3 linked regions of the Pelodiscus sinensis genome follow. The protein of the gene in region 1 interacts with the protein of each later gene in a pairwise test. Links are inferred from orthologs where the notes say so. Each region holds a gene or a part of one and is shown in the gene's direction. Other genes may lie near its edges. The genes, in order: UBXN11, RHOBTB3 and EIF4E.

Evidence for each region.
Region 2: the proteins of UBXN11 (region 1) and RHOBTB3 interact in binary tests that used the Homo sapiens proteins (3 or more experiments, as listed by UniProt). The two-hybrid records come from large-scale screens. The link is inferred for Pelodiscus sinensis from reciprocal best matches to the Homo sapiens genes UBXN11 and RHOBTB3.
Region 3: the proteins of UBXN11 (region 1) and EIF4E interact in binary tests that used the Homo sapiens proteins (3 or more experiments, as listed by UniProt). The link is inferred for Pelodiscus sinensis from reciprocal best matches to the Homo sapiens genes UBXN11 and EIF4E.

What each region holds. Positions count from the first base shown.
Region 1 is NC_134735.1:1,833,185-1,840,688, reverse strand, and holds the start of UBXN11 (UBX domain-containing protein 11), read left to right. Parts: upstream 1-4,502; 5' UTR 4,503-4,534; coding exon of another isoform or gene 4,535-4,569; intron 4,570-5,890; 5' UTR 5,891-5,916; coding exon 5,917-5,981; intron 5,982-6,357; exon of another isoform or gene 6,358-6,569; intron 6,570-6,692; coding exon 6,693-6,730; intron 6,731-7,504. UniProt on the Homo sapiens protein: May be involved in the reorganization of actin cytoskeleton mediated by RND1, RND2 and RND3. Promotes RHOA activation mediated by GNA12 and GNA13.
Region 2 is NC_134716.1:71,203,524-71,211,261, reverse strand, and holds the start of RHOBTB3 (rho-related BTB domain-containing protein 3), read left to right. Parts: upstream 1-4,718; 5' UTR 4,719-4,724; coding exon of another isoform or gene 4,725-4,853; intron 4,854-4,860; exon of another isoform or gene 4,861-4,999; intron 5,000-5,205; exon of another isoform or gene 5,206-5,227; intron 5,228-6,375; exon of another isoform or gene 6,376-6,505; coding exon of another isoform or gene 6,506-6,516; intron 6,517-7,738. Other genes in the region: RFESD (Rieske domain-containing protein), read left to right, coding at 4,725-4,853. UniProt on the Homo sapiens protein: Rab9-regulated ATPase required for endosome to Golgi transport. Involved in transport vesicle docking at the Golgi complex, possibly by participating in release M6PRBP1/TIP47 from vesicles to permit their efficient docking and fusion at the Golgi.
Region 3 is NC_134715.1:22,621,992-22,629,621, reverse strand, and holds the start of EIF4E (eukaryotic translation initiation factor 4E), read left to right. Parts: upstream 1-4,536; 5' UTR 4,537-4,551; coding exon 4,552-4,559; intron 4,560-5,018; coding exon 5,019-5,091; intron 5,092-7,630. UniProt on the Homo sapiens protein: Acts in the cytoplasm to initiate and regulate protein synthesis and is required in the nucleus for export of a subset of mRNAs from the nucleus to the cytoplasm which promotes processes such as RNA capping, processing and splicing.

The sequences.
Region 1 (7,504 bases):
TCATGGTAAAGCTCAGTGACTGAGATGCTACTTGTGCAAGGAAGCGTCGTCTTCTGCCTGCCCTAGCACACAAGCAGAAGCTCTAAGTGTGCCTGTAGCAGAGCATCTGCCAATCAAACCTTGCAAGCTCCCTGCCACGCCTAGACACTGCTAGCACTTGGGCGGCTGTTCAGCATGGCTTTGCTGACACTATGCTCATCATACCACTGATCACCCCCTCCCCCCCCATCCAGCCCCTACCCCAACACAACAGCAAACCAGACAGCTGCACTGGTAAAACCACAGCCTCTCTGTATGGGCAATTCTCCAACCCCGACCGAAACGAGCCAGGGGTTTTGATGCCAGGGGGCTGAGGCGGACAGATTGTAAACTGCACATCTGGACTGGCGGTTAATGGAGTTGGTTCCTGGGGAGGTGGTGATGCTGTGTATGGGGGGGAGGATTGTGAGGGGTTGTGGCATCACAACGGGCTTGGGTTGACTCTCTTGAAGCTGCCGGAAGGGGTTGCAGGAGAGTTTGGCAGCTGGGGTGGGAGTTCTGCAAGGACCCCCGATCACAGGCCAGCTTGTCAGTCTTCTCGTCTCCCTCCATTCCAGGAAGTGCTTGGTCCCCAAAGCACAGGGCCACCTGGGGCTCACACCCTGGAGAGGACGGGGTGGATCTGTACTTTGCCTTGGTTCCCCCGCTCCCGTGCTCAAGTTTTTCTAGAAACCTCCAAACAATCGTAATCGGAGTTTTCACCGAAAGCCATAAAGCAGCCTGGGCTCACTGGGATGTGTGCAAACTTGAGCCAAACTTTCTGCTCTCTTGGCCTGCATGCTGGGTTTGGTAACAAGCCCTCTTCTTCTGCAACAGAAAACTAGAAATAGATTCAACTGCAAAATTCCGATCTAGCTGGCAAGTCCACAACGCTCAGAGGTTCTTTGATCAGGGCCGAGGCCCCTCTCTCTTCAAAACTTTTACAGCTCTACTTTGAAGCCAGCTGATGGTGACAAGCATTTCCTAACTCCCGAATGTGGACAGTTGTACTGAGAAACGGATGCTAGCAAGATGCTAGATTAGATTAGATATCGCACAGTAACATTTCCTTGTAACCTTCAGCGGCAACTACGCAAATCCAGTGAGCTTCCCTGGAGTTTTCACCCGTTTTATACTCCCTTGACTTCAGTGAAGTTACTCCCGATTCACACCGGTGTCAGTAGAATTAGGCCAGCCTCTTCTGTGCCTTTTTAAGGCAGCTTGAAAAAAGCAATTGGCCAAAATATTCCAGACGCAGGGATAAAATAGGCCCATTTATGTGGGATTTCTTTGTGCGTATGAAACATATCAGTGTCTGGAAAGAGAAAGGAGTAAAAGGCAACATCTGAAAGAAACAGAAATGGGAGACTTTGCTGTAGCTATTTTAGATCTCCTTTTTTGGCTAATTTCAGTAAGCAGAAGTGTAGAGATGAAAGTCTGTTGGGGACAGTTCTCAGCCCATGAGAGGCGCGAGTGTGGTAATCTAAAGCTCTTAGCACAAAATCAGCAGGTCAAGTAGGTAAGATTCCTAGCTATTGTCAATCGGCATGGCACCATCGACAGAGCTTGGCCCAATAAAAGATGGGCGAGAAGGGTTCCCCAGAAACAGCATGATGACGACCCAACAGCCACCTTGGATATTTAAAAATCTTTTGTTGATAGAGTTTTTGTAAATGGTACAGCGGATCCGAGAAAACAGGAAGAAAGAAGTGGTCAGAAAAACAAAGTGAGAGAAGGGAAGGAACCATGAAATGACAACTAGAAAGTCTGTTTGCAGCTGAGCGTGGGAGTGCAAAAGTGTTGACAACACCCGGCATAATCAGTTCACAAAGCTGAACACAGCCGTGGGATTTTAAGTTCATCTGTTCTCCACAGGCACGAGTCTGGCGACGCTGCTTACTGGAATGCAGAGCGCCTCATGGAGCAATGTGACTCCAGGTGCTGAGGCTTTAAAATCCCAAAACCATGAGCCTCCCAAGTACACTGCAAGGGCGAGCCAGCCTGAACCCTGCGGTTCGAGTACAGGCCTAGCCCAGAGGGGAGCTGGGCTCTGCCGTGTGCCATTTCCTGGGGCAAGTCGCTTCCCCTCTCAGTGCCCGACTATAGAGGGGGGACTGTTGTTTCCCTGCCACTGTGTGTCGGGATGGGGACACACTGGCCCCATTAACAAGGGGGTTATGCCTCATCCATCCTCTTATATCCCATCGGGGGATCCCTCAGGGACTGCTCCTTTAATGGGAGGCGGGGTTAAGGCCTCCTAGCACTTGATCTGTCCCCAGAGGCCAGGGATTCCCTCAGGCTTCATCCCTTTAGGCAGATATAATAATATGTAGTGGGGGGAGGGGCAGTGGATGGGTAGGTGCAATGGGCTCTTTGGGGAAGGCAGCTAGTGGGACACATGCAGTGGGGGGGCAGTAATATGGGGGGGCAGTTGGAGGGAGAAGTGATCCCAGTGGAGGTGAATGTGGAGATCGGGGGGGCAGTGGTGGGAAGAAGGGGTGCCAGAGCTGGGGGCTGCACGCATGGGGTCCTTGCTTCAGGGACTGTCACCGTCTGTTCAGTAACTCACACCCCCTTTGCATTTTATACAGAGCCAGTAGCAAGGCAGGTGGATGGTTTTCCGCTGATGTGCAGCACTGGTTTTGCATGGGAAGTTGCGCCTAGTTGTAACCAGGGCAACCGCTGCAGACAAGATGGTGGAGCATAGAGCCCAAGAGACCCTTCCAAACGTGGGGATATGTCTGGGGCTGAGAGAGAGGAGGAATCGCTCTTTTGTTGGTCTGGAAGTATGTGCATTAGGGAAATGCACAACAGAGGGACTCCTCTCCTGGGGAACAAGGCAACACAAGCTGGAGCAGTGGAAGAACCTTCTCTCGTCTTGCATGCCTCCCCTCTGCGCAGGCTTGGCAGAATTTGATTTGTATTTTTTGTATAATTTGGACAAATATCAAATTTATTTGAAAGTATCTTTCCATATTAGCCTCATTAGCACCGGCACTACAATTGACAGGTACTCCCCCCTTTTTCTGTTATACATTTTGAGAGTCCTCCCTTTTCTCTCCACTCGGCAACCCCCGAGACTTTGACTCTATTTCAGTGTTCATGGTTGTGGAAAATGGTTGGGGGCTGTTCAGACCAAGAATTTAATTACTGTTGACATTGAGTAGAACAGTCATTAAAACTCACATTGTCCACATCATGCCAGACTATTCAAAGTCAACCTTCCGAAGGCAAAGAATAAGTTCTCGGGCAGTAGGGGGACAGAGTTATCCTTCTTGCCAGGCATGTCTGTGGAGCAGTTACTGATGTCTGTTACTGATGATGTTTACCAATGATGCTTACCGATGGCAGTTACCAATGGAGGTTACCGATGGCGGTTACTGATGATAGTTACCATTGTCGATTACCAATGGCAGTTACCAATGACGGTTACCAATGTCGGTTACCAATGGCAGTTACCAATGTCGGTTACCAATGGCAGTTACTGGTGGCAGTTACCAATGTCGGTTACCGATGACAATTACCGATGTCGGTTACTGATGTCGGTTACCAATGACAGTTACCGATGGCGGTTACCGATGACGGTTACCGATGTTGGTTACCGATGACAGTTACTGATGGCAGTTACCGATGTCGGTTACCGATGACAGTTACCGATGGTGGTTACCGATGACAGTTACCGATGACGGTTACCGATGACAGTTACCGATGGCGGTTACCGATGGCGGTTACCGATGGCGGTTACTGATGGCAGTTACCGATGTCTGTTACCAATGACAGTTACCGATGTCGGTTACCGATGGCAGTTACCAATGTTGGTTACTGATGACAGTTACGATGGCAGTTACCGATGTCGGTTACCGATGGCGGTTACCGATGGCAGTTACTGATGGCAGTTACCGATGTCTGTTACCGATGACAGTTACCGATGTCGGTTACCGATGGCGGTTACCGATGGCGGTTACCGATGACAGTTACCGATGGCAGTTACCGATGTCGGTTACCGATGGCGGTTACCGATGACGGTTACCGATGGCGGTTACCGATGGCGGTTACCGATGGCGGTTACCGATGTCGGTTACCGATGGCAGTTACCGATGTCGGTTACCGATGTCGGTTACCGATGGCAGTTACCGATGATTTGGGGCTCTGGGACGGCAGGAAGACCCCTGTGCAGAGCAGGCAGTGGCGCCTCGGGGCTATCGGCCGTGCCTGCCCTGCGAGTGCTGGGGGGGAGGGCTGAGCTGGGGGGGTTACCCCTCCCTCCCCCTTGGGGGTCCCCACAGCTACTGCCCGTTAGGGGGAGCCCCGAGCCCCGCCTTGTCCCACCAAGGGCCCGGGAAGGTCGGGGGGGCGGATGGGGAAAGGTCAGAGAGAGAGAGAGAGAGAGAGAGAGAGAAAACCGAGCGCGTTGCATGCTGGGACTGGTAGTCTTTTCAGAAGGGGTCGAGCCACGTGACCTTAAACGAGCCAATCAGCTCGCCCGGCCGTCACCGGGGCAACCGCGGCAAACAAAATGGCGTCGCCTGGGTCGAGCCCGCCGGGGGGAGGGTGAGTCCGTTACTAGCCCGAGGCGGGCTGCGGCGCGTCCCTCCCGCCCGTGGGGGCAGCGAGCCACAGACCCCCCCGGCCGGGCCCGTCGGCTTGCGCCGTGAGGCCTTGTGACGTCACTGCGGGGTGCCGGGGGGTCACCGCTGTGCCTGGGGAGTACCTGGGGGGGGTCACTGCCTTGCATGGGGGTGCCTGGGGGGGTCACCACTGTGCTGGGGAGTACCTGGGGGGGTCACTGCCTTGCATGGGGAGTACCTGGGGGGGTCACCACTGTGCTGGGGAGTACCTGGGGGGGGTCACTGCCTTGCATGGGGGTACCTGGGGGGGGGGTCACTGCCTTGCATGGGGGGTACCTGAGGGGGTCACTGCCTTGCATGGGGGTACCTGGGGGGTCACTGCCTTGCATGGGGGTACCTGGGGGGGTCACTGCCTTGCATGGGGGTGCCTGGGGGGTCACTGCCTTGCATGGGGGTACCTGGGGGGGTCACTGCCTTGCATGGGGGGTACCTGAGGGGGTCACTGCCTTGCATGGGGGGCATTGTGGGGGTCACTGCTGTGCCTGGGGTGCTTTTGGCTGTCGCTGTGTTTCCAGGCTGGGGCGGGGATGTCAGCGCAGGGCGGCGGGAGGCCTCCTGTCGCACTGTGGGCGTTTGCGATGTCATTGCGCTTGCGTGCCGGAGTGGGGTGATGTCGTAGGGTGATGGCAGAAGGTCGTGAGTTTGTCCCGCCAGAGCAGCCCGAGGGAAGCGGCAGACTTTGTCTGAGGGCCGTGGGACCCGTCCTCGTTTTCTGTATTTTCAGTGACAGACTAACCCCCTGAGACTTTCTGGCATGAAATGGTGCAGACTGTGGTCACCCTCCTTTTTCCCCTGGAGGCTGCCGCCTGTGTGGAGACCACAGGGCCCAGAATGAAATACCTGAGCGTTGTTTCTATGGGCCTGTCTACTCAGCAGAGACAAACCTGCTGCTAGCCCATGCCATCTGACTTGGGCTCCTGGGGCTCGGGCTGTGGGGCTGTTTCATGGCTGAGAAGATTTCTGGGCTTGGGCTGCAGGACCCTGCATGGTGGGAGGATCCCAGAGCTTTGGCTCCAGCCTCAGCTCCGAAGTCTACCCAGCCAAGCCTCATGAGCTCTGTATGACATGCTAAACTCCTTGGTCTGCTCAACCACCCTGCTCTGAAGGAAACCGCTAAGTGTGTGGTGATAAAATACACCCTGGAGCCGTCTGCTTTTCAACGTGCCCCTCAGTCTTCTCTCCCAAGGCACTTCACTCTGTGTCATCCCGCCGCCTGGCATTGTAACACTGTCTTTGTTCCCTAGGATCTAGAGCTGTCTAAGGTATAACCATGAGTTCTCCTCTTTCCTCCCTGGGAAAGCACCGCAGAGTCCCACTGCAGCTACAGAGTCCAGGGTAAATGAGACATGAGGGCTCTTTCTGCTTTAAGATTTGTGGCCACCCTTGCTTAGTTGTGCAGTTTTGATCCCAGCTGCTTTTGTCCTCACGCTATACGAGGGTTCTTCTTTGGTCTTGATCTTTCAATATTCTGGGTCCCATTGAAGTAAGTACAAGGTAACGACAGTCAGTACCACTCTGGAGTCACTCCGCACCTTGCAGAATTGAGCCCTAAAATCCAGAATTGTGCCATCCTGATTCCAGCTGTGAGCCCTGATTCCACGGTGAGGCCCTAAGTGATCCAGAGCAGTCTCTGCAGTTACGATAGCAAGAATTACCCGGGGCTCTTGGTTCTATGGCCTTGAGGCACAAGCTGGTCCCCAGTTGAGGCCAGAAAGACTATTGCACAATTCTGCGTAGCAACAGTTGGCCGAGTTTGTTGTTTGTCTTCTTTTCACTTTTTCCTTATATGAAGTAGCTTCCAGTGATCTTAATTACTGTTAAGCAACTCCAAATATGTTGTTTGTGTGTGAGCTCACTCATCACAGACAGCAAAGTGGGGGCTTGTTTGATTTATCTGTGTGGTGAACTGGGGAGAAAGTAGAGGTGGATGTATTTCAAGATTATTTTTTATGTAATTTACAAGTCTCTGATACCTAAAACCAATTATGCAGCAGCTAATTAATCGGTCTGCTGTTTGTTTTCTGTATTCCCTATTCTTACATGCAGGAAAAGGACTCTCTCGTTTAAACTGAGTGCCCACAATGGTAAGTAAGGCCTCTCTCTTTCCTTTATGTGTTTTGCATTTAAGTGTTATGTGCTTAGTTCTTTTCTTGTCCTTGATTTCTCTCTCCTTCCCGCATGTGTCAGAAATCAGCTTAGTAAGAGCTAGTTTTCCCAATCCCAGGATTTGTTAGAACATGCAGACTCTCTCAAATGCTTTACAATTCCAAAGCTAGCTGCTTCCCTCATTCTTCCCACACTTGGCACACCAATCCCTCTCATTAACGTTAACAAAATTACAAGTAACATAAATAAGATTTTTAAAATCAATATGATATGAGAGAGAACTAGAACAGTTTTGTCTTTGAAAAACATTAAGCTTTCTAGTTCTCTCTTTTTGCACCGCTGTCTTGTGGCTTTGCTACATGGACTCTGGATGGGTTTGCAAGGCCACAAACACTAATCCTGGCTGCCGTCTCTTTTTTTCTGAAACAAATTCAGTTCCACTGCTCTCCCCTCTCACCCCCAGCAAAAGCTGCTGGAACCTAGCGCCATGGTCTCTGTCTCCCAGTACAGTTTTGTGTTTGATCTTTGTCTGTTTAGAGTGGACCCTCCTCACAGCGTGGACTGTATTATCTTTTGAGTACTGTACTCTCTCTCTATGCTTCGTAATCATCGCTTTGGAAGTCTTTGGGTGGACGAATGGGACCATGTCACACTTCGTACCCCACCCTCTCCTTCCCTAAAGATACATCCCTGCCAATGTTCTCTCTAATCTTTTCCACCCCTGTGCGGGATACTTTTTATGTGAACCAAGG
Region 2 (7,738 bases), on another chromosome or scaffold:
ATAACCAATACATAAATATGTTTGCATGGGTGTGGAATAAAATTGAATTTATGAAAGTGAATGAATCTTTAAATAATTATCCAACATATGATGACTACTGCTAATGTAACTCACACACCTATTGGGTGTGTTTCACTGTCCAGTTAGTGGCCCTTAGACCACTTACAGAGCAAGAAAAATGAGTTTGCTGTACAGCCTTAGCTGAGAGCCACCTGGCTTTATAACTCAAGTACTAGAGGCTCATGCATTAAGCTCCTGATTAAGGTCCCTGGTTCAGTTTTGCCTGTTTGGGTTACACTAACATTCAGAGTCCATACCAACAGGTAGGTACATTTGAAGTGTTATAGTAGCATACACAGAAACATGCCATGAGATGAGGGAGCTTCTGGCTTGCTCAGCTCCAGCCCCTGACAACCAAGCCTGGGCAGGCTGCTCAGGTAGAAATAGCTCCATCTCACTCCCAACCTAGTTGCCCACTGAACTCTCGATTGATGTCAATGAAATGATCCAAGCGATCCACTAGCAATTGCAATATCATAGAAAACTAGCCCTTTGTGTCGATGTACTCCATCTCAAGGTGGTCTGAGGCCAAAATGGGAATTTTTGTGCCATCTATTGTCTCACCATGATTAGGGAATCCTATTGCTGCAAAGCTATCCATTATTTCATGTACAGTGTCCAAAGTTACAGTCTTTTGTCGCAGGAGACAATGACCCAGCACACTTGCATCACTGGAAACCCCATAGTGGATTTCCCCACTCGGATCTGACTCACAACTGATTAGCAGCAGTCTGGTGTCGCCAGGTTCCACACAGCGATCAGCACTCATGTCTCTACTGTTACTGCAGCTCTCATTTTGATGTTCCTGTGGTGGAGGGTTTGAGAAAACTCTGCGAACAGTTGCTGGAAGATGGCTTTGTGCATCCAGAATTTCTGCAGCTGTTGCTTGTCATCCTGTATCTTCATAACAATGTGATCCCAAAACTCGGGTGCTTGTTTTTCAAGCCCAGGACTTTTGACAGTGGCCTGTACCAGATGCTTCAGAGGGAATGGACAGAGCAGGGCAATTTTGAGTGATTCATTAAATTGTCCAGTCCCAGCTAGGGATGTGAACGACTAGTCAACTACCCGATAAGCAAATGCTTATTGGATAGTCGACACACTAGTCGACTAGTTGCTCCCCCTGCCGCTGCCTCTATCAGAAAGATGCAGCAGGGTAGGGAGGGAGAGGAAGAAGTGCTTCAAAGTGGCAGCACCACATGGAGCCCTGGACCAGACCCTGGGCTCCACATGGCACTGCTGCTTTGAAATGCCCTGTGGAGCCGAGGGCCAGCTGGTGAGTCCCCCGTTGGCCTCACGCTTCATGTGGTGCTGCTGCTTTGAAACACTGCAGGGAACACTGGGCCAGTGGGAGACAGTTGGGGGAGGAGTGCATGTCCCCCAACTGGGGGACAGACATAAAAACTCTTTGAAATATATAGTAAATACCTGTCCTTTTCTCCACCCCTAACGCCTGCTGGCCCAATGGGGTTATAGCTGGACACTACTTATCACAGGTGGCCCCTGGGTGGCGGGGCAGGGAGGCTAAGGCAGTCTCACCTCTGCCCTGGCTCTGTACCACTCTCCAAAGTAGCCAGCAAACTCCATCCTTCTCAAGCCCTGTTGTCCCCCCCACACTCCATTCTGTGGAAATAGAACACAGGGTAGGAGAGGGGGCATCCTGACATCAGCGTCCCGCCTTTATCTCCCCTGCTCTGCACAGCAAGCAGGAGGGACAACTCCAAGGCAAAGGGCAAGAGTTGCACAGGAACGGGGGAAGGGGCAGCTGAAGTGCTGTGCTTGATAGCCTCTTGGCCAAACCAGTCAGGGTCACCTGTCAAAGGCTCCAAGATCTACTACGTGACCACTGGACTACATATAAATTGCAGAGCTACAGCAGAGGTAGGTGTCATGTTACTGGATTTTAAGGAAGCAGCCAGATCACTGCAGCACCCATGGGGCAGGGGTTGTTGGCTCCAAAAGTGGTACAAAGGGGGCCATGTGAAGTGTCAAATAGAAGCATACTTTCTTCTGATTCCATATATGTTATTCATGTACTTGTATAATGTCTGTGTGTGGGTAAGGTGCAGAGTATAAATTGACCTGGGATCTGTGGCTGGTTTCTTGGAACCGGACAGAACTTGTTAAGGGAAGGAGAGATTGGTTTCTAAATCCCTCACTTATGTATGAGGCCTGGGGCCATCTGGGGCACGGATATTGCTGGGGTGTCGTAGGGGTTTTGCTTGTGAGGCTGCTGGCTGGCCAGGCAGGCAGCTGAAGTGCTCTGTGGGATTGGTTTGTGGCCTATTTGGAAAGGTCTCCAGTCTGGGGGGCTATAGAGAGCCCCGAATTTGAGCAATTTGCCCTGAGCAAATGCCCTCAGCTGTGCCCAGACCCAGCCCGGTCTGTCACAGTAGGTTCGGAACCCGGCTTGTGCCAGGTCCTGGACTGCTGTGTCTCTGCTTTTTTAAAATCTGGCTCTTACCACCTGGCTCTTACCACATTTAAAAAGGAGAAGCGCAGTGGTCTGGGACCTGGCGTAAACCATATCTGCTGAGTCCTGGCTCGCACCGGGTCCCCCACTGCGCCTCTGCCTTTTAAATGTAGTAAGAACCTAGGGCAGCAGTCTGGGAGCCAGGGGGCTCTTACTACATTTAAAAAGCAGAGCCGCAGTGAATTCCATACCACTGTGCTTCTGCCTCCCCTGCCCCGCTTCTCCCCACACCACCTTCTAAGCTGGCTCCTCCCCAGGACCAGCTCCTGCTCCCCCTCACCTCTTTGCTGCCTCTGAAACAGTGACTCGACTAGTTGCTTACATTCCTATTCTGGCCTCTTGCTACCCTCCGTGTCATTCTACAATATAATTGTCCTCTGATCAGACCCCCCCCCCCTTTCCATTTTATGAGAAACAATCAAATTCCAGGCACTTTGGCTGTGCCAATGAGTTGGCACAACCAAAACCTTACCTTGTTTTTGAGTTGTGATAAAAGAAAGCTGCCTACCAAAACTGGTGATCCTAGCTCTTACCATTTAAGAGCTCTTGAACGAACAAACCCATAGACATAGAGTCAAAATTTCCAAAATATATAGTAGATTATCTTTTCTAAATTTCCAGCAGATCCAGTTTTTTAAATCTTTCTTTGTGGGGATATTATATACCCATAATCATTTTCATTGTGCTTTTCTTCATCTTTTCTATATCTTTTCTGAGATGAGGTGACCAGAATTGCATGCAGTATTCAAGGTGTGGGCATACATTGGAGATATATGTTGACATTATACTACTTTATTTTTTATTATCTATTCCTTTTTAATGGTTCCTACGTTCTGTTTACTTTTTTGACTGACACTGCACACACTGGATTTTTTTCAGAGAAATATCCCCATGACTCCAAAAATATCTTTCTTGAATGGTAACAGCTAATTTAGATGCTATTGAATGGATAGTTGGGATTGTTTTCCAATGTGCATTACTTTGCATTTATCAATATTGCATTTTATTTGCCATTTTCTTTCTCCATCACCCAGTTTGTGAGATCCTTTTATAACTCGTCACAGTTAGCCTCGTCACAGTTAGCCTATCTGGAATAATTTTGTAGCACGCACAAATTTTCTACCTCACCATTTCCCCTTTTCCAAATCATTACTGAATATTTTGAATGGCACTGGTCCCAGTACAGATCCATAGGAATGCCACTTTTTACTTTTATTGTGAAAACTGACCATTTATTCCTACTCTTGGTTTTCTTTGTACTAGACAAAGGATTTTACCTAATATAGAAGTGTAAAGTCTGAGATTATATTTATATTTATGTTTATATTCTGTGTAACCTGGATAGTTATGCTTGCCCTCTATGTCAGTGTTTCTTAAACTATGTTCCGCAGAACACTGGTGTTCCGTGAGCAACTCACAGGTATGCTGTGACCTCTTGTTTTTGTTACTTCTTTTTGTCTTTTTTTGTCTGACAAAAATTTTTTTGTTTTGAAGAAAATTTTCATAGATGTTACACAAAAATATTGTTTTGTGTTCCATGATCTCAAAGAATTTAAGAAACAGTGCTCTATGTCATCTCTGAATTAGGTTTTTTTTTTCTCTTAACCTTTTAATTTTCTTCCAAAGCAGGTCTCTTGTGTTCAAATTGTGTGTATGGTGGGTGCTGAATTAAATTATATCTAGGGTTCTGGTTTAATGCTTCCAAGTATGACAAACCAGAGGGGAATGATCCAAGTGTCTGGTGGTAAAGAACTCATCTGAATTTTCCAAGACATTGCCTATTATGAATAAAGTGGATCAACAAAATATTATCTCCACTTGCAGAAGAGGCCATTACTAAAATATTACTGTAGTAAAATGTGTATCCTTTCCTTTCTTCCAAGGCTCCCATTGCTCCCAATCCCCCTTCTCCACTTCATTGCCCACGCACACCTGTCCCATTCTGGTTACACTATTGCACCAGCTCCCTGTTCAGCCAAGGGAGGATGGAGAGAGCAGGGCAAGTCACCAGTTGGCTCAGAGTTCCTGGCCGCCTTTACTGCAGCAGCAGCCCCTTAACGGCTGGAGCACCGAAAGCAGGCGCTTGCCAGCTGGCCCTGAGAGCAGGCTACAGGTTCCCGCTCTTTCCGCCAGAGGCCCCACCCCTTCCGGGGCGTGGAGCTACCCCCTCCCCACTTGCTCCACCGGCCGGATGAGATCCCCACGGCTGCCGGTCTCCAAAGCGCTCAGCACCTGCCCACGCGCACTGCAGTGCCGGCCTCCCCGCCAGGGGGTAATGCAGACCGGCTCCATCCTCCGGCGTCCCTCGCGTGACGCGCAGGTACGAGCTCGTCACGTGTCACATGACGCTCAGTGCTGCGCTGGCCTAGAGTTCTCTTGTCACGTGCTTCTCCGCGGCACCTTTGGCTGAAGCGCTGCTCGCCGGCCGTTGGCAGGGTCGGCCGCTGTTGCCGGACGCATCCAGGGGTACGTGACAGTTGTTTTCTACTGACGGAGAACGCTTGGCGCGAGCTCTTCTAAACGGGTTATGAGGGTCACCTTGCGCGGTGCTTGCTGGGTGTTGTAGTTTTCTTTGCGGGGTGGCCTCTGAGGCTGCTGCGGCGGCGCAGTGGGGTTTCTGTCTGTGACGTATCGGAAGAGGTATGACGGCGCGGGGGGAGGAACCCAGTGCGCGCTCCTGTGTCGTTACGATCAGTATGTTTGAAAATGTTACATTTAGAATCAGTACTAGAAATCAGGAGTGTACAATTCCCTGCCTAACAAAGCTAGCTGTGAAAGCGGAATGAGCCCTGCTCAAGTTAATGTAGTCCTGAGACTCTAATAATTAATATAAACTCTTAATTAGAAATAAAAACATGGGCTGAGCTGTAACTGGGGTGGTTGAACTGCCTGAAAGAGCTGTAAAGTTATTTGATTTATGCATAATCAGCTCGTAAAAAGTCTGGAAAGTGCCATGGGGGTATTTCTACTAGTTGCAGGGGCTGCAGGAATATTTGATGGAGAATGATTTGCTTGCCATGCATGAATGGCCATAGGAATGTCATAAGAACGTATACACATCATATATATAGTAGCCCAGTGTCTGTGAGTCTGTAACGCTGAAATGCTGACTGTTCCCTCTGGGTGGCCCGTGCTGCATGGGGAGTGCGGGGCCCAAACGGCCGCTTGCTTCCCCGTGGCGGCCTGGCTGAGTGGTGCAGATGTCAGCTGAGCGCCATGGCGGGAAAGGGAGTGAGGTGGTGACGTGCGGCATGACAGCGGCTCCAGGCCCTGCCCCCTGGCTGTGAATGTCACCGTCTTCCCCCCTTCGCCTCCCGCCGTGGCGCTCGGCTGACTTCTGTGCCACTCAGCCAGGCCGCCGCATGGGAGCAAGTGGTGCAAGAGGCTGTTTGGGCTCCACGCTCCCCATACAGCACGGGGAGTGTGGAGCCCAAAAGGCCATTTGGGCTCCACGGTCCCCCGAGTGAGAGGCAGGAGGGGGAGGAGAAGAGAGAGAGAGGGAGGCAGTAGGAGGAGAAGAAAGAGGGAGAGAGAGACGCAGTGAGAGATCAGAGGCTCAGGAAAGACAACCAACGTGGAGGAGAGACCTGAAAATCCCGTTTTATGACGGGCTAATTGGCTAGTTTTAAAAGAATATGACTCCAAGATACATCTGGAGAAGGCAGATATGAGAATTATTTATAAGGAGTAAAGAAGAAAACAACTTTCAGAAATCTCTCATGTTCTGTTATCAGCCCAGCCTCAGCCTTCCTCTTATCGGTTCTGCCAACATTCATTTCAGCCTTTTTTGTGCTGCTAAGACCAATTCCTCTGTGTTTCAGAAAACCTTTTTCAATAAAGAAGAACTTAAAGAATTGATACATATGAGAACAAAACGGGTGTGGGATGTGATGGAGCTATAGAACTGGTGCTGCACTTGTTAATTTGAAACTTCGTCCCTTCATCCATTCTTCATCTCTGTCATGTGCTAGCATGGATCTAAGGTATTGATGTGACTTACGTTAAGGAGCTAAATTGCTTTGACCCTCTTTAGAGTTTGATTCTGTCCCATTTTTGGTTACTCCTTCTCCCCCCCCTCAATTCGTCTCAGTACATATGAAGACATTTTTTTAATTTTGTTTTTCTTTTGTAGGTAAACCTTAACACTTGTATTATTTTAAATCAGTGTATGTCCCCAACTCTGACATTGTCTAAAAAGTAGTTTTAGCTCATTTGCTTTTCTTTATAGGGAGGGCTGGTTTTTGTTTGCTTTTGGAGATACTCCTATATCAGTAGTTCTTAAACTTTTGGCCTGTGGCCCAACCCACTCAGTGCAAACCTTTCTGAGGATCACCAGCCAACCAACCATGTTGACAAAATAGGTGCAGGAGGGAGTGGTGGTGTGGGTTTTGGGTGGGAAGTAGGGTGCAGGCAGGCCCGCTGATGTGGGGGAGGAGCAAAGAGGGCAATTGCCCTGGGGCCGGGCCACTCAAAAGGCACTGGAACTTCTTTGAACTGCTGCAGAAGCACAGGATGTGCCACTCCACACAGCTTTGAGGGCTGGGGGAGGAAGAAACACCACAGTCTGGGTGGCGCTAAGGTCTGACTGCCCTCAGCTCCACCTCTTTGGGGGGTGTGGATCTGGTTCCTTTCACCTTGCCCCAGGGCCCAACGTGGCTGTTGGCCCCACTGGGTGCAGGGCTAACAGTGGAAAATTGGGTGCAGAAGTGGGTAGGGGATCTGGTCGGACGTCCCATCATCTCTCGTATTGGCACGCTCACTACTGGTCTATCCAGCTATGTAGACTCTCTCCTCAAACCCTACGCAACCAACACCCCCAGCTATCTCCGAGACACTACTGACTTCCTAAGGAAACTACAAAACATCGATAACCTCCCCAATAACATCATCCTTGCCACCATGGATGTAGAAGCTCTGTACACCAATATCCCACATGAATACGGATTACAAGCAATTAGAAACACTATCCCAGAGGACACCACTGCCAACCTGATAGCAGACCTATGTAACTTTGTTCTCACCCACAATTATTTCCAGTTTGAGAACAACTTATACCTCCAGATCAGCGGCACAGCCATGGGTACACGCATGGCCCCGCAGCATGCTAATATCTTTATGGCTGACCTAGAACAACGTTTCCTCAACTCCCGTCCCCTTTTGCCCCTTCTCTACCTACGGTACATCGATGACATCTTTATGATCTGG
Region 3 (7,630 bases), on another chromosome or scaffold:
TTAAGAACATACATGACTGTCACGTCACTGTCTGGTCATTCATGAAACTAGTTTTTAAAGCTTCTCTGATTTTCGGTGCTCCTTGATATGCTCTCCTTATTGCCTTGGTATCTGGCTGCTCAGAATTAGCGGCTAGATGATCTGCCTCAACCCCATATCTGCCAGAAACTTTCCCCCCTTACTTTCACAGATATTATGAAGCACACAATAAAAGGCCATAACAATGGGAATGTTGCTTTCACTAAGCGCTAACCTAGTCAATAAACTGTGAAAGTGTCCTTTAAACTGCCCAAAGCACATTCCACCACGATTCGGCACTTGCTCAGCCTTTAGTTGAACTGTTCTTTACTGATGTCCAGGCTGCCTATGTACAATTTCATGAGCCATAGGAGCAAGGGGTGGCTGGGTCTCCAAGGATAGCTATTGGCATTTCAATGTCTTTAATGGTAATTTTCCAGTGTGGGAAGAAAGTTTCAACTTGCAGCTTTCTGAAGAGACCAAAATTCCTAAAGATGCGCATGTCATGCACTTTTTCCTATCATCCCATGTTGATATAAGTGAAATGGCCCTTGTGATCCACCAGTGTTTTCAACACCATTGAGAAGTATGTCTAGTGGTTTATGTACTCTTTGGCAAGGTGATCTGGTGCCAAGATAGAGATGTGAGTTCCATCTATCGTCCCACCACAGTTACAGAACCCCACTGCAGCAAAGCTGTCCACAATGTCCTGCACATTTCCCAGGGTCACTATTCATCCTAGCATGAAGGTATTGATTGCACTGACTACTTACATCACAGTAGCCTCTATGGTAGATTTACCCACTCTGAATTGATTCCCAGATGACCACTAGCAGTCTGGCATTGCAAGCTTCCAGAAGGCTATTGCCACTCACTTCCCTGAGTGGGTATCTTTCTGATATTGCTGAGTTTCAGTGTGGGGGAAAGCAATTGGCAAAGTTCAATGAAAGTGGCCTTATGCATGCGAAAGTTCTGCAGCCACAAGTCATCATCCCTGTGACAGGGTGGCTGCCATGCCCCGCACAATTGCGGTGCCATCCCCGGCATGCTGGGAAGAAGTGGTGGCCCTTCGCTGGCTCTGGCCCTGTGCAGCTTGCTCCGCTGTGCTCAAAGGAGGTACTAGGGGTGCGGACGGGCAGGGAGCGCCCGAGCTTGCATAGCCCCGACGAGAGCAGGGAAGCCGCGGGGCTGGCGGGCCAGCGCTGCCAGAGGCAGCGCATGCTTGAGGTTCAGGGCAGCTCCAGCACGGCCGGAGGTAGCGGACAGCCAGGGAGGGAGAGCGTTGGGAGGAGCGGACGCAGGCCCTGCCCCTGGTGCACCGGACGTCGCAGCAGCAGGACGCCTAAAAGGAGCGCCGCCGCCAGAAGCTAGGGGAGGAGAGCCGAAGTACAGAGGGCCAAGGAGGGCCGAGGTGCACGGAGGCATGGAGCCCAGAGGAAAGGAGAGTGACAGAGGGAGATGCCCAATAGGAGGACTTGCGGAGGCTGCAAGAGCCACCCCTCTGGGGGCCACTGGACAAAACTGCCACAGTGGCTCAGTGGCGGAGGTAGGAAGTGACCCAGGGCAGGGTATTAATCCCGAGAGGTTGGTGTGTTTCGGGGCGGATTCTTCCCCTCACCAACTGGAGCTGGGGCGCAGTCCCCAGTCCTTAGGACCCTGGGTCGGGGCTTGGAGTGGGGGCGGGCCTGAGTCCCACTACCTCACCTCACCGGCCCGCCGACGCACCAGAGGAGAGGACTGTAGGAGAGGACCACCCCTGCCAGATACGGGGCAGGGTGGGTGATGGGGAGCACGCAGCGTGGGGTTTTTGTTGCATGGGACTGACAGCCAGGGCCGGACGGAGGCATGGGCGAGCTGGGCAGCTGCCCAGGGTGCCAACCCACGGGGGGGTGCCTGATGGTAGCCGTAAGGGGCACACGGCGTTCCACGAGGCGTACAGCTAGTTCGGAATAGGAAGCCTAATACGAACTAGCTAGTCCGTGCTGTGTGTAGCTGCACGGCACGGGGTCCGAACTAGCCGGCATTTAAAAATGGCGCCGGCCGGCATCATGCAAATGAAGCCCGGGAAATTCAAATCCCGGGCTTCATTTGCAACTCCGAATGACTACATTACCCCCCTAGTTCGAACTAGGGGGGTAGTGTAGACATACCCTATGTGGTTCCGCCAATCTGTGCTTGTCAAATAGGGCCAGAATTGGCGTTCTACTGTGTCAACAGGATTGACTGCCACCAGCATATGCTCCACTCAATGGTTTCATGAATATCTGTTTTCGTGGCCTCCCCACATTCTTCCTCACTCTGGTGGCTCCTGGTTAGGCACTGGACAAACCACAGTATAATGTGCAGGGAGTTTGCAATGCTTGCCACAGCAGTCTGAGGCTGACCAGGGTCCAGTCTTGCCATACTATGGCATCTGCATGGATAACCAGGGAAATAAGGGTGCAAAAAATTGTTTGCCATTGCTTTCAAGCAGGGGTGTGTGTGTGATAAGTGCTTTATAAGAGGCTGATGACATGTACGCAGAGCCACCTGCTGCAATGTTTTTGTCCCATCAGGTACTGGGATGCAAAGAAGCAGCAGGAATTGTGCAATGGATACCCTCGGAGCATCTTTGTCAAAGTCAAAGGTACAGGCAGTCCCCAGGTTACATGGATCCGACTTACATCAGATCCCTACTTACAAACGGGGTGAGGCAACCCCGCACTAGCTGCTTCCCCCCAGCAGACCAGGGAGACGCGGAGCGGCTTTTCTCAGCAGACACCTCAGCTTGAGAATAAATGACTGAGGGAAGTGAGGTGGGAGAGAATAAAACTGAGCTCTGGAGAAATGTTTGGCTAGAGTTTCCCCTACAATATGTACCAGTTCCGACTTACATACAAATTCAACTTAAGAACAAACCTACAGTCTCTATCGTGTACGTAACCCGGGGATTGCCTGTAGCTACTTTATTGAGTGATAGAGATGCAGCCGTGTTAGTCTGGTCTAGCTGAAACAAAAGACAGGATTATGCAGCACTTTAAAGACTAACAAGATGGTTTATTAGGTGATGAGCTTTCGTGGGCCAGACCCACTTCCTCAGATCAATTTGTGGAAGAAAATTGGCATGACCATATACACCATATATATATATATACCTTAACAAAGATGCTAATTATCTCACCCATTACAAAGATAGCTTCCCCAATTATCACCCCTAATATCATTACCTTACAGACACTAACCTTCCCCCTCACCCTGCCTCTGTTCTAAAATCTGATTCGTCGATTTTATATGTGTTCACTTTTTTTGATTGTATCACTTTGGTATATATGGTCATGCCAATTTTCTTCCACAAATTTATCTAAGGGAGTGGATCTGGCCCACGAAAGCTCATCACCTAATAAACCATCTTGTTAGTCTTTAAAGTGTTGCATAGTCCTGTCTTTTGTTTTACCTTAGTGAGGACACACTACATCCAACTCATGTGTCCAGTGAAGACATGCACCTTCAACTTTGTAAACAGGGATATTGAACCAACATAATCAACTCTGCACCACTGCTTTCTCAGCTCCAGGTATAGATGATTTGGCCAAGACAAAGGGACATGACCAATGGAAAGGGGGCATAGCCAAGAACTTGCGCCCTTTAGCAAACTTGAACTACAAGAGTGGCCTTTGTGGGGCCATTGGCAGTTGGAATAGTTTATAGCAGCCCTGTGGTGCAGAATCAGCCCCAGGATCAGGAAGCTACAAATGGATGCTGTGCGCTCCCTTCTCCTCATGTGTCTAGAATCTCAGCTGAATTTTTTTACAAGGGTGAGAGGGTATCATATGACCCTTTAAGGAATGGCTACATTTATTGTGAGTAGATTGGTGTGCTTTTTGTGTGTTGTACCAACAGTATTATGATTGGGCTCCAGCTCTCTGTTATTCCCAGCCCAGGACTTCAAGACTTTCACTTTAATTTATTAAACTGTTGATCAAATAAAATGAGTCATGCAAAATGTGATTATGGATCACATTTAGAGCATGGCATTGCTTAGGTGATCATGATTTTGATTTAAAAAATTGTTTTGTTTTCCACTGTCAATGACTGTTCATAGAATCACAGAAATTATAGGAGAAAAACATCTATTAAACCAATTAGTCCATCAACTAGCAGTTTTTGGATTGTTCCAAAAGTGCAATCAAGTGTTTTGCTTTACTATAACTTTAGATAGGGTTTTCAGCACTTCCTTTAATAGATTATTTCAATACCCAATAGACTTCATTGTTAAGAATTTTTTAAAATCTCATATTTGGCCTAAATTTTCCTTTGCTGGATTTTATCTCATTACTAATTATTATACTGTTGGGACCACACTAAAGAACTCCATTATTCATTGGTGTTTATAGGTGTTTCCTGTGATATAAAAGTACTCTGCCAGATCCATTAGAACTTGGTAAGATGAAAACATGACATCTCCAAGGCAACCCAGGTGCTATCTGTACATTCTAAAGAACTTTTGTTTGGAATCATAATGCTTCGAAAGTTATACTGAAGGTGAAAACTACAATGGACAGGTATGTATTTACTCACTTGCTAGTTAGGAGTTTACAACTAAAAGTCTGAGGGTATGTCTAGACTGCGGGGGTTTTCCAGGATACTGGAGAAACTCTGGAAAAACTCCACCGCATCCAGGGAATGCATTTGCTCTTCTGCTTTTTTCTGTGGAAGAGCAAACGTGCTCTTTCAGAAGCCCTGACTTCCTCGTTGTACGAGGAAGAAGGGATCTTCTGAAAGAGGGGGATTTTCCAAAATTTGGCCCAGTGTAAACCAAAAATCAGAAAAAGGTGTAGTGTAGATCTAGCCGGCGTGACAGGTTAATGGGTGTGTTGGGAATCCAGAGCTAAATGTAAAACTGAAAGGTATTTGGTTACCCTCTCTCACTGAAATAAAGGCAGAAAAAAAGGAAGTAAGAACATCCTGAACAACTTTATTCAGGGATAGAGTCATAACCACATTTCTTTTCTTCCTCGCAGGCTAAAAGAGTTACCAGTGGAATGCTGTAGAGATTGTCTCCTGGGCACAGTGAATATCAGAAAGAGACTGTTGGTAAGACTTCTTGTAACAATAGGAACACATAAAGACCAATGATAATTTTATATTTATGAAAGCTGCTTTTGGAGTAAAGTAGTTTTCCTGTAAATAAAAATATTTCCCCGTGTTTTATTGTTAGTCCAACTTCAGTTTACAATTCTCTGTCTTTCTTGTACACTCCTAGACTGTTGCTTGTATAAACTTGAAAAACAACATATAGTCTGGTAGCACTTGAAAGAGTAACAAAACATGTCAATGTTTTGTTAGTCTTCAAAGTGCTACCAGACAATTTGTTGTTTTTTAAGTTTATCTTGTACAGACTAACTCAGCTTCCCCCTGTTGCTTTTATGTTAGATTTAAGGAGAAACATGTTTCTAATTTTCCCCTCACCTTGGACCTGCTGAATATAATTCTTGACTATGTAAGGTTTGAGCATCAAGTTAACTAAAACATTTTCAAAACAATAAGAAATCAACTTAAACAAAATTGAAATAGACAAACAGTCCAAACTACATGTCTATGCCCAGAAGACAGCACTGATTTACATAAATCAGGGATTATATTTTATATAAACCAGCCTGAGAGAGTGGACACTTAATGTCACTTCCCTCAAAACATGCTACTGTCCCCATTATGTATGGATCAGAGAGACAAATCTTAGGCCTGAGAACTGATAAAAATAATATAGGAGTTATATACTGGTAGCATAATTCATCTGGATCTGTATGAACCTTCTATAACATTTGTCACAACTTCCTTTGTCATCACGCCAGCATATACAGATTTACTTGTTTTTAAATGTTTCCATAAAAAGTCAGTGCTTCTACGCTTTAACTCCTATATTGCCTCCAATTTGTCAACATCTTACTGGTACTCAGAATTGTGTATAGTATTCTAGACACAGAATAGCATATGAGTGTAGTAGTACAAAGAAGGATGTTTCTGGTGATCTGAGGCCATTGTATATTTAATCTAAACGTCATGCACTTTTTAGGCTGCCATGTAACTTGTTGCCATATTTCTTCATAAATAATTGACTAATATCTGAAAACTTCCTGGTGAATAAAAAATCTTCATAATAAAATTCTTATTTGTCCAATACTCGACTGAAAAATCTTGTTCTTACTGAAGTGATTTGTTCATGGCCAGTCTCAAGTGCATGATAGATGTCAAAAGTGGGCTTGTTTTTTCTGGTTTCCATGAATAATAAGCATTTTATTTATTTCATGTAACTTGCTGATTAAGAGTTTTCTTCTCAAAACAATCAAGTGACATTTATAAAGCTGCAGTTTTTAGTTTTTATTTCCTTATTTTGAGCAAGGCAGTTGCATTTGATTTTCTTGCTGTTAATAATAAATTAAGAGTATCAATTCTTAAGCTGGTGCTGAGGAAGTGGGAAGCTTTCTTTGTCATCAAGAAGAGATTGGAAGTACCTGTTTTTTAGGAAAAAGGAAAAATAATTACAACTGTATACGTTGGTACAATGACAGAGGAAGTTATGACCCAAATACTCTGCAACTGTAGAGATGCTGTCTGCCAGCTCTGCTCCCGGGAGGTTTTGTAACCTGCAGCATGTAACTGTGTAACCGCTAGGATTTTAGCAGTAACGGGGTTATCGTTTTAAATGAATTTTTACATCCCTATAGAGAGACATGGTGGGTAAGGTAATATCTTTTATTGAACCAACTTCTGTTTATAAAGAGAGATAGGTGTAGGAATGGTCCCTTACTATCTCTGCTAACTACTTATGCTAAACAATCTGTTGCACTTACATTTTGCTGTGATGCTGGTAGTACCCTCGCCAGACCTGAATAAGAGCTCTGTCTGGCTCAAAAGCTTGTCTCTTGTATGAGCAGGAGTTTCTGCAGTAAGAGATATTGCCTCGCCACTTTGTCTTTCTAAGCATATGTCTACACTTAAAATGCTACAGCAGCAGCACTGTAGAGCTTGAGTGCAGACACAACCCTCCCAAGTGGAAAGGTTGCCACCAGCATAGATAATCCACTTCCCAGAGATTTTTCACACCTCAGAGCGAAACAAGTAAGCCAACTTAATTTTCTAACACAGAGGGGTAGCCGAGTTAGTCTGTAACAGGAAAAACTTAAAAAACAGTTTAGTTGCACTTAAAAGACTAACAAAACATGTAGATGGTATCATGAGCTTTCATGGGCACAGTCTGAAGAAGTGGGTTGTGCCCAGGAAAGCTCATGATACCATCTACATGTTCTGTTAGTCTTTAAAGTGCTACTAGACTATTTGTTGTTAATTTTTTTTTAATACCGACCAGCCTAATCTGGCATTAGGGTTGCCAGGTGTTCAGTTTTGACCCAGACAGTCCAGTATTTGAGCTTTCTGTTCCGGAAACAAATTGAGAAAATCTACATGAGAAACTAGAACTGTCCGGTATTTTCTAAATAAGATGTAATGTAGATTGTGATTATCTTCCCATTGAGGAGGGCGTCTCAGTCTCCTCTGGACTGAGGGTGCCCTGGTGCAGGGGGGCAGGACTGCATCATGCATTGTGAGTGCAGACACCCCCGGCCGCCCCCCCCCG